Linked DNA regions of Drosophila melanogaster. The protein of the gene in region 2 purifies or fractionates together with the protein of the main gene of each other region. This does not show direct contact. Each region holds a gene or a part of one and is shown on either strand. Other genes may lie near its edges.

Region 1 (4,821 bases), on a different chromosome or scaffold from region 2:
TTTTTGTTTATTTTTTAATGATGGTAATAAATAAAATGCTTTAATTGTGAGTCACGTAAGTTCTCCCAGTGTACAGAGAGAAACAACAACATTCATGGAGCAGCGGAACCGTACTCATAAGACAGAAAGCTACCCGCACAATTTCAACAACATCTCTGATCTTGAGTTTAATGTCTCATCGTGACATACTCTTTTCCATAATGAAAGATATGCCAACTAGGTGCGTGCAGCTTATCTTGTACAACTCTAATCTGAAAGTGGATCTAAGCCGTGGTAAGCATTTTTACATTACATTTAGATTCGCTAATTAAAACGTAAAAAATGGTGGTACAAATGAGGAAATGTACCTTATATGCAGGGAACGTTTGATAAGCAAATCCTGCATTTTTCCCAATTTCATTTATGCTCTATCAACTAAATTATCATTATTCAAAATAATCTGATCTGAAAGATTAATTTATATATAAGATATCTGAAGTGATTATTCATATAAAAACGTGACAATAAATAACAATTCTAAAAGAGTATCTATACATTCGACGAATGCGAGTTTAAAAGTTTCTGGTGTTTTGTGTTTCAAAGTTTTGGCGAAGGTGAGCTGCAAAAACCGAGACATAAAAAATAAACAGAAAACGCTAAGCGAATAATTGGAAGAGCCCACGATTCTACTACTAGCAGACCTTAGAGGCCAAGAAGCCCCGAAAATAAAGAAAACGGTTAAAAGATAACTGCGCTTTATTTGCGCCCACTTTGTATATGTATACATCATATATACGAAAATATCTGTATTTAAAAGATTGTCTGCGGTGGGGCATGACCGCATGCAAAGCAAAGTCAGGTACGAATATTAAGATACTCCCAACTTTATTCGACTGTCAATGGCAAAATGCCAGGCGAATGGTTTATAATATTTCTTTTCTTGTTTGCCCATGCATTTGTGAGGTTAATCTCCCCTGGAAAGACCCCAAATAAGTGATCGAAACTCGGTCTTAACATTGAATTTCCCTGAGACGGCTCTTATCGCCCGAAGTAGCACTACACATTAGTTATCAGCAGAACTAAACAAATAGAGAATTCTGGTCGATCGATAAGCGGAGAGCAACTGTAGTTCTATCACAGCACAACTGACTCATTCAATTTGGCAACGAAATAAATACAACATTATCTATTGTTCTGTTACAGATAAGCATGAGTTTTTTATGTACGGAAATACCTATCGCCACGGTGCACTTCATTTTGCGACCACGACTGTGTCGATTAGCCCACAGGTAGACCGGCGTGCAAAAAGGGGTTGCAAAAACCAGAAGTCGCACTCCGACTTGTCAGCCTGCAGCTGCCAAGGTGGCAAGGACAAGGGGACGAATGAATGTGACTCAACGAGAAGTTGACTCAACCCGGGGGCAAGGAAACATTGGAGTTGGGGGTCACGGAAATGCAGCCGAAAATGGCGATCCAAAAAAAAAATCAATGATTTTTGTGGTTTTGTTTGAGTGCTGAAGAAGAAATGGTACTTTGGCTTCAAGTTTTTGTTTTAAGATCACACAACCACAAAATATAAAGTAAGGATCTTCACTGAATGAATTATGTATTCCAGCTCTTTTTCTTATCAGCTAAAATGTTAATTTCTAATCAGAAAAGGGAAATAAAAAACTGGCCTATGTGCAGATTAAATTATGGTATAAATAAAACTACAATATATACAGATATATCAAAGGCCTTGACCTGAAACTTAAAAGCGAAATGCCGCTCTGATAAGAAGCATTAAAGAAGAGCTTTAAAAGTAGGTAGTATAGCAGAAAAGATTTTAAATATATATTGTTTCAAAATATAATCAATTTAAAGATGAATACTATCTCCTGACTGATTATAATTACTTAATGGAATATTTTGGCTCTTAATGAGATCACAAAATAAACAACCGCATTTTACAGAGTATTTAGTGAGAAATTGTTCTTTGTAATATGTAAAATGCTCGTTGACACATCTAGAACAATATCGACAAAATTCTTTTTAAATATGTTGAAATCAAATTGCTGAACATTGCAAATTTTTTCTGGCCCCCAAATGCCATGAAAATTATTTTGCAACCGCAATTTTAAAGTGCATCTCTTCCTATTGGAAGTTTCCATTTAAGCGGGATGTCCAATAGGAAAATATGATATGCCATTAATTCACCCTTATTTAACAGATATTTGAATATATTACTAGATAGTAAACATTGGTGGGCACTCACTTATCATCGAGATCGACGGGCAGTCGCTTGAGCTCCGACATGTCCAGCTCCAGTCGCAGATTGGACACTTCACAGAGCAGGCGATCGCGTTCCAGACTCAACTCCTTGATCTTGGCGTGCAGGGCATTGTTCTCCCGGAGCAGCTCGTCCACATTGTAGGGCATCGCATGCACATGGTGATGGGGCATGTTGATGGAGAGGGGCAGGGGCAGGGAAACGGGTCCAGGTGGGGCGACACCCCCAGCGGAACCGCCCGGCCCTCCTTGGTTTCCCACAAACATTATGGAGCTGGCCATCAGCAGGGACTGCGTGGTCTGATGCAGCAGCAATTCCTGGTCGCCATCCGAGTTCTGGGATAGATTCTTCAGATCGGCCTCGGACATGTTTTGTTTATAACCTTAGCGGGGATCGGCTGCACTCCTAATCGATGTGCTTTTGTGGCCAAAACATTATAGCCCCGCCACGCACACGCACTCGCGCGAATGAGGGAAGGTGGTGGAGAGGGTGATAAAACAGCGAAACAGGCAGAACCACTTTGAATCTCACAATAAGAACTGAAAATGCAGCTTGCTGCGAGTTGAAACTTCACTCGTATTGTAATTGAATGACCTTCGTATATTATACTTCAGAGCCAGCACTTCGAATCGCGAGCAACAGTTGGTGCGGATCGGAGGGGGATTACGAATATTCTCGGAATTACGGATTTTCAATTCACGCGCGACGAAAAACACGACGCACTCGTCGTTCGACGTTTGGAAACAGTGTGGACGTGCTGGGGGGCACCGCAGTGTGACCATAGAGCATGCAACTCAAAATACGCTATCGTATTCAAAAAATATACCGCATCAAATGTGGCATTTTAAGACGACCGTTTTATTTTAAAATATATTGTTGTTTTCATCTTATTTAAGAAGGGCATAAACAATCTTAAGTTTATGCTCATTATTATACATAAGCATTTTCTTTCTTTGATAAATTTAAAACTCATTAAATCTAAATATGTGTGCATTAATTAAGATTTATTTTGGAACTGCCAATGATCCATTCCTGGTTGATCTAGTTCACCACAAAAATATTCTATAAAATTGGTATTGTAATAATAAGCCGACATGAAGAACCAAAAAAATATAACCATTATACTAACTGGGCCACCAGGTGCAAATTTAGCTGGGAAAATATTTGCTATTTGTTTATTATGTATGTAATCATGATTTTCAGGAGTGGGTAAAACTACACTGGTCCACAAAATATGCTCGGCTCTGCAGGATAGAGGACGCATTCTTCAAGGATTCTACACAGAGGAAATGCGAGGTGAGGGCACCAGCCAAAGAATCGGCTTCGACGTGGTCACGTTAGCCGGAAAACGAGCAATCCTATCTCGCAAGAATCCCGGGGACCAGCTGCGACGACCCAAAGTGGGAGAGTATTCGGTGTTTGTGCAGGACTTCGACAGTCTCGCTCTGCCAGTACTTGGCACACAGGATTCCCAACCAGAGCCGGATCTCCTGGTCGTGGATGAAGTGGGCAAAATGGAGCTGCTTAGCAAGCGATTTGAGTCGGCCATGGCTGATCTCCTGAAGAAAAAGCGGGCCCTATTGGTCACCATACCCGAGAAATCAACATTGGCTTTGGTGGAGCAGCTGAGAAAGTCAGCAGGATCCAAGATTTACCAGGTGACCAAATTCAATAGGAACGCCTTGGCTGGAGAGATTACAGAAGAGATTACAAAAGCACTTCTTTAACAAAGTAAAATTGTTGGTCTTTTTAATAGTGCCTAGATGTATAATCGTGCTGCCGATTCTCCGCCGCTGGGAGATCATCATCCGATGCTACGCATCCACGGAGCCAGTTGTTGAGTGATTCATTGCGGGCGGCGGCATGGCTGAAGTCAGTGACTGGGATTCGCTCTTCCTCGTCGAACGTTTCCGAACACGTTTGGTTTCCCTAGCCCAGTCCATTTCATTGTAGTGCTGCTCGGAAGCGGTCCAGTGGTACTCCTGTCGGCTGACCAGTTCCGGGTACTTTTGCTCGAACTCCTTGTCGGGTGGCAGTAGCAGCTCCCACCGTTTTGTGTTATTCACCCGGGCCACAGTCTTCAAAACGTCAAGTGTTTCCGCAGGAGGTAACTGGGTGGCGGCCATTACCTGAGCTCGGAACAGGTAGGGCGTGCGGGAGAAACGAAAGAGCTGCGGATGGATTTGAGGAGATTAGTACAAGATAAGTGATCGCTACACCCATACTATAACTCACTATATAATCTCTGGCGCGAATCATCTGCTCTGCGGACACACCGTTCGCATGGGAAAGCACCTTCTCGGGAAAGACCACCTCGGATTTCGGCACCCAGTTGCCGTGCAGTAGGATGCCCACCTGGGGCAGCAAAGCCAGCACCTTGTCGGCAGCCACATGCGGATCCACGTGCTCCGCGAGAATACTAATGACGTCGCTGAACGAGAGCATCCGCGCATCTCTCAGTAGCACTGTAAGCTGTTCCAGCAGCGGCATAGACTTAAGCATGGCCTTGTTGTAGACGGGAAGTACTTGGGCGGCAGCAGAAGCAGCTGCTGGGGCTACCGTCTGCACATGCT
Region 2 (9,038 bases):
CGCTTCTCGGAGCCGCTTTCCGTTCGTAGTCGCTTGTTGGCCGCCACCGACATGCCGGCCAAATTGCCCAAGGTCTCGCTGCGCACTTTGAAGCCCATGCGCTCCTCGTATGCCGTCAAGCAAATACTGATGCTGCTTAGGTAGGCGGTGATGCTGAGCAAAGGTCGGTGGATGGCCACTCCCGGCCGGGGCTGGAAGCACATTGAGGGATCCAGCGATGCAACTGACGGCTGTAATGGTTCCGTTTCATTGTTGTTGTTATTGTTGTTGGACGCAGCAGATGGCAGGCTGCTGGAAAAGTATGCACTCTTCTCCTCGTGCAAACGCTGATTGGCGCTGCGCCATTTGTACTCGAACGTCTTGATGAAGCTGATTAGTTTCTTGTGCAGCGGAACTATGATCCTGCCGCGTGGATTCTGCGCCAGTGACTGGACGCGTCCGAAGGCCTCCATATTGGCGGGAGTCACCAGCACCTCCACCTTGCTGGGCAGCCGGATATCCTCCAGTGAGTCTACGGTTTGTCATTGGGTATTATTGGGCAAACATATCGAATGGAAGCGGACTCACCATCCAATTGATTTAGCCGCCGGAGCGCCTTGCACGATGGCGTCTTAATGCGAATGTTCTTGCCCTTGCAACGCACGGTTATTTGGCCCTGGTAGACCAGCTGCTTCAGCTTCATGAAGTGCTTCTCCGTGAGGAACTGCAGCTTGCGCCGCATCTCGCCGTAGTTGATCAGCGTGTACAACTCCTGGGCGGGCTTTTTCAGTTCTAAAACGATTGATTAAAGTTACAAAATTGTCCAGCAATTGCGAAATGAAATGAAGGCCAATGGCAAAATGGCAACGCTAGTTGAATTCTAGGAATTAACCGAGGCACGAGGTTTTTGGCGCCGAAAATCTATTTTTCCGGGAAACCGAAACAAGCTAACTGTGACCTTATTAACGCATTATTTTGCCAATAGCTTGTTAATTTAACATTTCGGGACATGTCATATCCAGTTTGACCCTTCTTCTTACCCTCCGAGAAGCGCACATATTTGCAAATCTTGTGATGGGTCTGGTAATAGTGCTGGCGAACTTGGTCCTTGGTTTTGAAACTATAGTCGCTGTTGGCATTGCGGCGCTTCAGCTTGGCATTGATGCAGTTGGCCACCGCCTCGAAGTCCTTGCCGAATTCGTTGAGGGCGTCGAAGAAGCAGTTGCGCTCCACATTCGTCCAGGTGGTCTTCCCGCTGCCCGTCTTCAGCTGGCTGGGCGTCTTTTGGGCGGCCTTCTCCTCCTTTTTGTTCGGCTCCCGTTCGCTGGGCGGCGGTGTCATCGGGCGCGTCTGGTCCTGCTTCATCTTCTGTATGACCCGGGCACTGGCCCGCGTTCCCGGACAATTGTGCATGGTCACCGAGCCGAGGAGCTCCTCCTCGGGCAGCTTAGCTATCGAGTTAACAACTACTGCTCCTCCTCCCTTGCCATTTGGCAGCGGCTCCTCAATGGACACGGATGACGACGGCGGCGGCGGCTGCGTCAGCGGGGGTGGCGGCGGCTGCTTGGACAGTTCCTCCATGTTGGCCAATCCACATCCGCTTGCCTCCTAGACAGGATCAATCAATGGCAATATCAATTAAACTGCGTAGTCTTCCGGGAAAAGTGGGAAAATGGCGCCGAACCGTCCGATTGCTTGGTATTGTCGCTGAACCGCGCGCCCGGGCTAATCCACTACCGACCAGAAATGATCTCGAAGGCTTTCCCAAGCTCCGACGTGCACTCACCTACAAATCAGACATGGAAAATCGGTGCCAAACGACTATATAAAAAACTTATTAACGAGACGCCAGGGATGTTGATGTTGGCCAACAGTGTGGTATCAACAGTGCAGTGTGTGCTGTTAGGCGCGAAGTGGTTGCTGTTAAGTTGTTTTGTTTACCCGCAGCGATGCCCGCTCGGTTGTTTTACAGCCGCCAATGGCTAGTTCTAGCCGCAGCTTTCGTTTCCTGGCTGCTTTCCAGCTAAATGCGTACCCTTTGAACTAACCGTTATCTTATTTACATATTAAATTTAATAAAAATATACAAAATCCACACGAAACAAACAAACTAATGATTTAAAGGGACTCAGAATAGAGCACGCTCTCAATAGCATAAGCTTTTATTGATTTCCTTTACCTGTTGATTAATTGCAAAAATTCTTCTTGAGGTTTTAAAGTTTATTTTCTTACGTATAAATTTTAAAAATAGGCCAAAAAAATAAAGTTTCTCGCGTGCATCACAAATAAATACCAACAAGGAGTAATACTAGCAACACGGCTGCGAGTATCACGATGAGCATTATCTTTTTCTGCAAATACAAGGGAAAATGCCTTTTAGAACCCAACGCTCTCGGGGATTCGCAGTGTGCCCACCTTGCGCGCCTTCTTCTGGTGCTGCTCCGCCTGGTCCAGCTCGTCGGCGCCCTTGTCCACGTGGAGCGTGGCCTGCTGGGCGTGAAACTCCACCCGCTGGATCACCTCGCTCTGCTCCATTACCAGGGTCTGGATGCGCATGAACAGGGCGTGCACCTCCTCGATGGACTTCTCCAGGCGGCGCAGCTCGTTGAATCGATCCATCATTTCGCGCAGTGTCTGCCGCTCCTTTTCCGTTTCCTGCAGAAACTAAAAATACAAAAATTGTTATTATAAAGATTAAGCAAATGTCTACATTTATTTACTATTTGCAATACAAATACCTTTTGATCTTTACATTTTGTGTTAAATTGAAGGTTAATTAACAGAGAATGTTAGAAAGGGCGGGTGAAGATCTTATTTTATTGATTTACCGTTGGTCCTTGATCGTTTTCTCTTCAAGTCTTCCTCTTCCCTTTTTCTCAGCCACATCCAAATACGCACGTGATTTTTAATTGTGCGTCGCGAAATGAGGTTTGTTGTATTTAACATGGTTTAGATGTAAATGTAAGTATCGGCATTGTGATACGAAGCATTTGCGCGCTTTTTCTTTCTAAGTTCGCGGTAATTTGGCGTTTTCAATGGCGCGCGAAATATGTTTGTGTGTATAGAATGTGCGCGCTAAAATCCGCATTTACATATGTATGTATGAACATACACAATGTGTGTGTTGCGCTAAATAAGCTTCCACTTTTTTTTTATGGTGAACCACTGAGTTTCTATTATATATATAAATATGTATAGCTTAGCTATACGGCTAATGTAATTAATCTATGTACGTGATAATCTGTATTGCAGAACATAATGCTTTATTTAACATCCTCATTAACTAATAGATGATGTTAAAACAACAGCGGCAAACAGAGAGAGTGCATATGAGTTTGATTTACCGTTGGCCCTTGATCATTCCCTGTTTAAATCTTCCTCATTCCTTCTTCTTCCCGAGCATCGACATACGCACGTGTTTTTTAACTGCGCGCCGCGAAATAAAGTTTATTGAATTCAACGATCTTTAGATGGTGAAAAGTGTTACTTGAGTAAATGCGAGTATGCGCATTGTGATGCGAAGCATTTGCGCGTTTTTCTTCCTAAATTCGCTGTAATTTTGCGTTTTCAATGGCGCGCGAAATATGTTTGTATGTATAGAATGTGTGTGCTAACATCTATTTACACATGTATGTAATGTAATGTGTGTGTTGCGGTAAATTAGCTTCCACTTCTTTTTTTATATTTTTTGATGGTGAACCACTGAGTTTGAAAATATATTCTATTCAATATAAAAATGTATAGCCTAACCACTCAACCAATATAATTAATCAACGTATGTGATAATCTGTATTGCAGAACATAATGCCTTATTTAACAGCCTCATTAACTAATAGATGATGTTAATACAACAGCGGGAAACAGAGAGAGTATGTATGAGTTTGATTTACCGTTGGCCCTTGATCATTCCCTGTTTAAACTTCCTCTTTCCTTCTTCTTCGTGAGCATCGACATACGCACGTGTTTTTTAACTGCGCACCGCGAAATTAAGTTTATTGAATTTACCGTTGTTTAGTGCTGTTACTCGAGTAAATGCGAGTATAGGCATTGTGATACGAAGCATTTTTTTTCCTAAATTCGCGGTAATTTTGCGTTTGAGCAAAATAATTTCATACATATGTATGTATGTATGAAGGTGTGTGGGTGTTACACCAAATGAGCTTCAGTGTTTTTTTTTTCATTTTTTTTATGGTGTTCCAGTGTTGAAAAAGTTGCGAAAGTGATTATATCCTATTAGCTATTAAAATCCCAAATTTTTTTTTTTTCTGTGTAAAGCTTTACTTAAAGTGATATGAAAATGATCGTCTCGCAAATTATAGATGCGATAAAGTCAAATGAAATGAAAAATGAATACAACATCGAGGTGAGTTGCGCTCTACTGAGTAATATTTAGTAGCTAATAGTCCTAGATTGTATAAAATGTCATTTAAACTACATACTAAATGCCGAACATATTAAAATATATATGTTTATGAAACCTTTGATAAGGAATCATATCAGACAGAAGACTTAGTTGTTTGTATAATTCTTTCTTTACTCACATTATCCACAAAGAGTTTGGTTGTCTTGTTCTCGATGAGTAACTCGATTTCTTGTTCGCTGGCTTCAGAATTAACTAAAAAGTAGATTGTAACGAAGTTCTTAAACAAAATAATGTAATAGTTGCAAAGCATTTAATCAGACTCGTCCATTTTGTATCACACTTACTGATTTTTGTATGCAGTCTCAGATTCTTTTTGACCTTGGTCTCGTAGTTCTGCAGGAATAGTTCGTTTTTGTGCCACAGATTGATGAAAGTCTGGTGGAGTCCATAGAAAAGGGTTCTTTTCATCCTTGCCTCCAAGCTGTAATCGTTTTCCGCCGGCAGATTCGCCTTGAAGTCGTTGAATCGCGTCATTAGCTGATTGCCCAGCCTCAGGTTTTTGTTGTGAAGCTCATCCATCTCGTTCTCTGTGCGAATTGGATTTAGACCGTGATGCAGTGGAAGTATTCACAACTTTAGATTCAAATTCTTACCGTTGAAAGTTCGCAGATTGACAGTTTGGGCCATGCGGTTCATCGTCTCCAAGTTGGCGGCTATCTGTGCGAGTTGTTGGCGAATCTCCGTGTACTGAAAAGGAAGGATACCGTAAAAATCTATTAAAATCGTATATTCACTTCCATTGCATTTCCAGTACATTTCCTTGCTCAGGAGGAAGCAGTGCTTGTATTGCTTTTTTGCTTTGCAAGAGTTGTCTACCGTTGTTTACGTTTACATGGCGACTACTTGCCTTCTCTTCGTCCGCTCTCTTAACCACAATAAAAAACGTATTTAATGAGAAAATGTTTTTTTTTTTTTCTGGACTTATCACGAGTTTTCGCGCTACGCCGGCAGCGATTGAGTAATACAGCTGATTCATAAGTGCACACATGTGTGGGTAAGCCATAAAAAAGAAAAAAAGGGTTTCCCTCTCTCCGGCTCTCTGATCTTTTATTTCCATTGAGGGGAAACGTTTAACTATGCTAGATATTAGCTGCTTTCTGTTGTATGTTCTTGCTTCGCTAAGTATTTATAACTTTCAAGATAGCTATCTTAGGAGTTAAAGTTTCTTCTATTAACTATTTCAATACTCAATAATAGTAAAAACTTGTATGAATTCTGAAGTTGTGTTTTGTATACACTTCGATCCTTAAACTCACCGGATTGAGTATGTCATCCACATTCGAGCCATACTGCGTCATCTTTGAACTGGACCGATCCTTGGGTTCGGTGCTGCTGTTATTGTTGCTGCAGCTGTGAGAGTTTTGGCTAACGACACTGTAGCTATTATTGTTACCGCCGGTGTTGCCAATGATGAACTCCGTGGTTCCACTGTACACGTTCAAAAGCAGTGAACCGTTCGACGACGAGTTCGACGAGTTCGTGCTCAATGAGCGCTGGAATTAGTACAGCAAAAATGAGAAGAAAAAAAAATAAATAAATAAAAATAAAATAGGTCCATGCGATCCTAACGAACTGCAGGGAAAAACTGAGAAAAAACTAAATTGAAACTAACAACTTTGGTTGAGTTTATTTACGTTTGTGTGTTCACAATCTGGCGCGGTGTAAATGAACTATAAAAATGACTTCGGTACTGAAATTCACTTGGTGCTAAAAGTTTGTCGGCGGAAACGCGGGGTTGCCCCGTAAGTGTGATGTGTGGCCACATTATCGTCGTTATCTCTGGCCGATCTGATAAATGCCATAGCGAACACCCACCAAACCCCCTTGGCTCACAAGTCGAAATAGTGCCAAAAGCGCCAACAGAAATGTGAGAGATTGGGCCAATTGTAAAGAAGGTGGCAGCACCTTGGTCAGAATGTGTTTCAACGTGCCGCAAAAAAAAAAAAAACTTTGATTAGGATTACTTTTTACCGAGAAAAGTGGAATCCTTTTCCTGGCAAATACCACCAAATGTATTTCATCGTGTTAAGTAGATTTTATTCGTATTGCGGTTTGAGTGATGCCAAACCACTGTGCTTCAAACTAATTAGCAGTTACCTCATCCCAACCTCCCAACCAACCACCCACGTTTCTAATATTTTCTTACCTGCAAAAGCTCGGGCAGTCGATCTTTACCCATTTCTGCAACTTGGACTGCCTTTGGTTTGAATTATGCCAATTATATGCCAAATTTATGCCAATTCCTTGAATTCCTTTCCAGTACTCCAAAATGTCCACTTTATATCCTTTACAGCAGCTTCTGAGCTTTGTTCCTGGTTTGTTGTTGCCGTTGCCTCCAACAGCTGTTCGCGAATGGGAAAATTTGATTGAGAGCGCAGGAGAGAGCGAAACCTGCTATCAAAGCTTATCAGCGCACAAGTTTCTGATAAGAGCCGCCTAATATTTACCGTCTGCCCTTCGGAAAGCGACAGGGCGGGGTGGAAAGTCATGGAGAGAGAGAGAGAGAGAGAGAGGGACAGTCAGAAAGGCCTAAACACAGATTATCACCTATCACATATTTGCCATTTATTGGCGGCTCTTTGCTCTCTTACTCGCTCTTTTGTTGCACACACACACAAACACAAAAAAGAAAAAAATTGGATTATGGGAAAAACTAGCTTTATGTATTTTTAAAATTTAACATGTAAATACATTCGGCTACATTTTATTCGATTTATTGAAAATCAATTCCTTTGTCTTCACCGCGCCGCATACGTTTTCGAACTAAAAAATCGACGCCGGCACAAAAACGCAGAGCCTCCCAGTCGCGTCGAGATTTCTTTCAATTCAAAAAGATTAAAGACAGCAAACACTCTGGCTACAGCCTGGGCCAAAATAATAGGCATTTTATGGTATAAATTCATTGGGCCTAATCCAAATTCAAATTAGTTATGAAAAATTCAAAAATGTACATTAAATGCAGCAATAGAATTGTGATTTGAATATACGAAGGTATTCGATTTCATGAACTTCGGTGTATTTGATATGTACGTTCATGTGCTTTAGCTGGAGAGAGATAAAGATAGAGACTCGTACTACATTATGTGTAGTTAGTGGCGATCTACATTTTTTGTTGTCTCCGAATAAAATGAATAAATCGTCTTTGCCACCGAAATGAAAACTGGTTAGGCGGCGGAGAAAAATGTGTTAATTGTTTTTATTATTATTTCTACTCTGTTGTATGGTAAACATTTCTACATTGCTCTGCCGCCTTTTGCTGTTGTTGTCGCACTTTTCACGCTCCATGTTGCCGTTCAATTGAAATAAAAGACCGAGTAAGAGAAATAAACCTGCGACGAGAACGTTCAAAAGTCACTTGCGCTAATTAGTTGAACTTTTTTCTATTGCTGGCTTTGTACTGTGCCACCATATGCATTTACAGGGTATCAGCGGGTCGCATCTATGTAGGTCAAGGGTGTAAATTCATTGTCAAGCGTTGTACTCACCACTTTTTACAACTTGATCCCTTCAAAACGCTTGTGTAAATTATACTTCTTAAGCACAGTTCAGTTGCTTGTTTCTTCGAAAGTTTCCCATAATAAATTTATTGCTATTTTGCTTACTGGGTAGCTAGATGGTCTACCCGCTTTATATTAGCAATTCTTGCGGTTGCAAAACGAAGCTTATGAACTGCCCTCAACTACGTCAACAACAATAACAAGAAAAATAAAACCATCAACACCAGACAGTTGCGAATTTCCATTTCTCATTTGGTTCGCAATTCTTCTCAAGTTGCCATGCCATTTAAAAAGACGGCAGAAAAGAATCGTGTCGCGAATTCTTCCCTCTCTAATGATTGTATAAAAAGCATACGTATACGTGATATACTGATACTTTGAATTGAACTGCATGTAGCGCCATAAGGTTAAAACATTTAAATCGATTTGGAAATTCAATGTGGAATATGTGAATTCGCGAATACCCTTTAATACACCCTTTAAACATGAACATTTACTTTTTATTGCAAAATACCAATTAATTGAGATTGAGATAAACTGATGTTTCTGAGCTTGAACTTGTTACTTTATTTTTGCTTTATTTTTTTTTTGTTTGGCTTTTAAAATGAGTCATATAAGTCATGTTTTTTTTGTGACCCCGTCGTGGAATTCGAACCGCCAATCGCTTATCAGATACATTCGGAAGGTTTTGTGAGTTCCAATATCATTTTATTAGTCGACGATTTCTTGCCAACTCGTTATTAAGAGGCATTCAATTGCTCGAAAGTCGTGAATCCGCTTTTATTTACAAACGATCGTATAGAACTCTGACTCAATGAAGATATTGTCACTTTTGTGCTGTAAAGTTAAAAAAAAAAACTGCATAACAAAGCAAAACTCAATTTAGGTGGAGTGGCTATACAAAGCAGTTTATTTTTATCAATCCATGGGATTCATTGAGTTTAGGTAATGAGAATACAAAAAGATGAAATTCTTGTTTTTCCCGCCTTTATTTGCATTGCGGACTGTAAGTCTAAAATGTATTCCAGGTTATTATTATCTATTCACTTATTTTTTTAGTGCAAATTGTTGGCAAAACAGCAACATATTCATATTCCCTGCGTTTAACACCCGCTTTTCACCTTTTTCCATTGCTTTTC

What was found. Proteins that work in one complex are often made in the same cells at the same time.
Region 1: the proteins of kirre (region 2) and siz purify together in Drosophila melanogaster (affinity purification with western blotting, with the first as the bait; one study listed by BioGRID). This does not show direct contact.

The regions. Positions count from the first base shown.
Region 1 is NT_037436.4:21,032,714-21,037,534, reverse strand, and holds the start of siz (schizo), read right to left. Parts: upstream 3,001-4,821; 5' UTR 2,617-3,000; coding exon 2,234-2,616; intron 1-2,233. Other genes in the region: CG10581 (uncharacterized protein), read left to right, coding at 3,343-3,388, 3,452-3,975; Polr3E (RNA polymerase III subunit E), read right to left, coding at 4,063-4,419, 4,484-4,821.
Region 2 is NC_004354.4:2,736,903-2,745,940, forward strand, and holds the start of kirre (kin of irre), read left to right. Parts: upstream 1-3,902; 5' UTR 3,903-4,102; intron 4,103-4,254; 5' UTR 4,255-4,342; intron 4,343-4,520; coding exon of another isoform or gene 4,521-4,594; intron 4,595-4,686; coding exon of another isoform or gene 4,687-4,929; intron 4,930-4,995; coding exon of another isoform or gene 4,996-5,089; intron 5,090-5,658; coding exon of another isoform or gene 5,659-5,895; intron 5,896-6,014; exon of another isoform or gene 6,015-6,056; intron 6,057-6,548; coding exon of another isoform or gene 6,549-6,581; exon of another isoform or gene 6,582-7,174; intron 7,175-9,038. Other genes in the region: crm (cramped), read right to left, coding at 1-511, 568-771, 1,020-1,560; Syx4 (syntaxin 4), read right to left, coding at 2,259-2,330, 2,395-2,643, 4,521-4,594, 4,687-4,929, 4,996-5,089, 5,659-5,895, 6,549-6,581.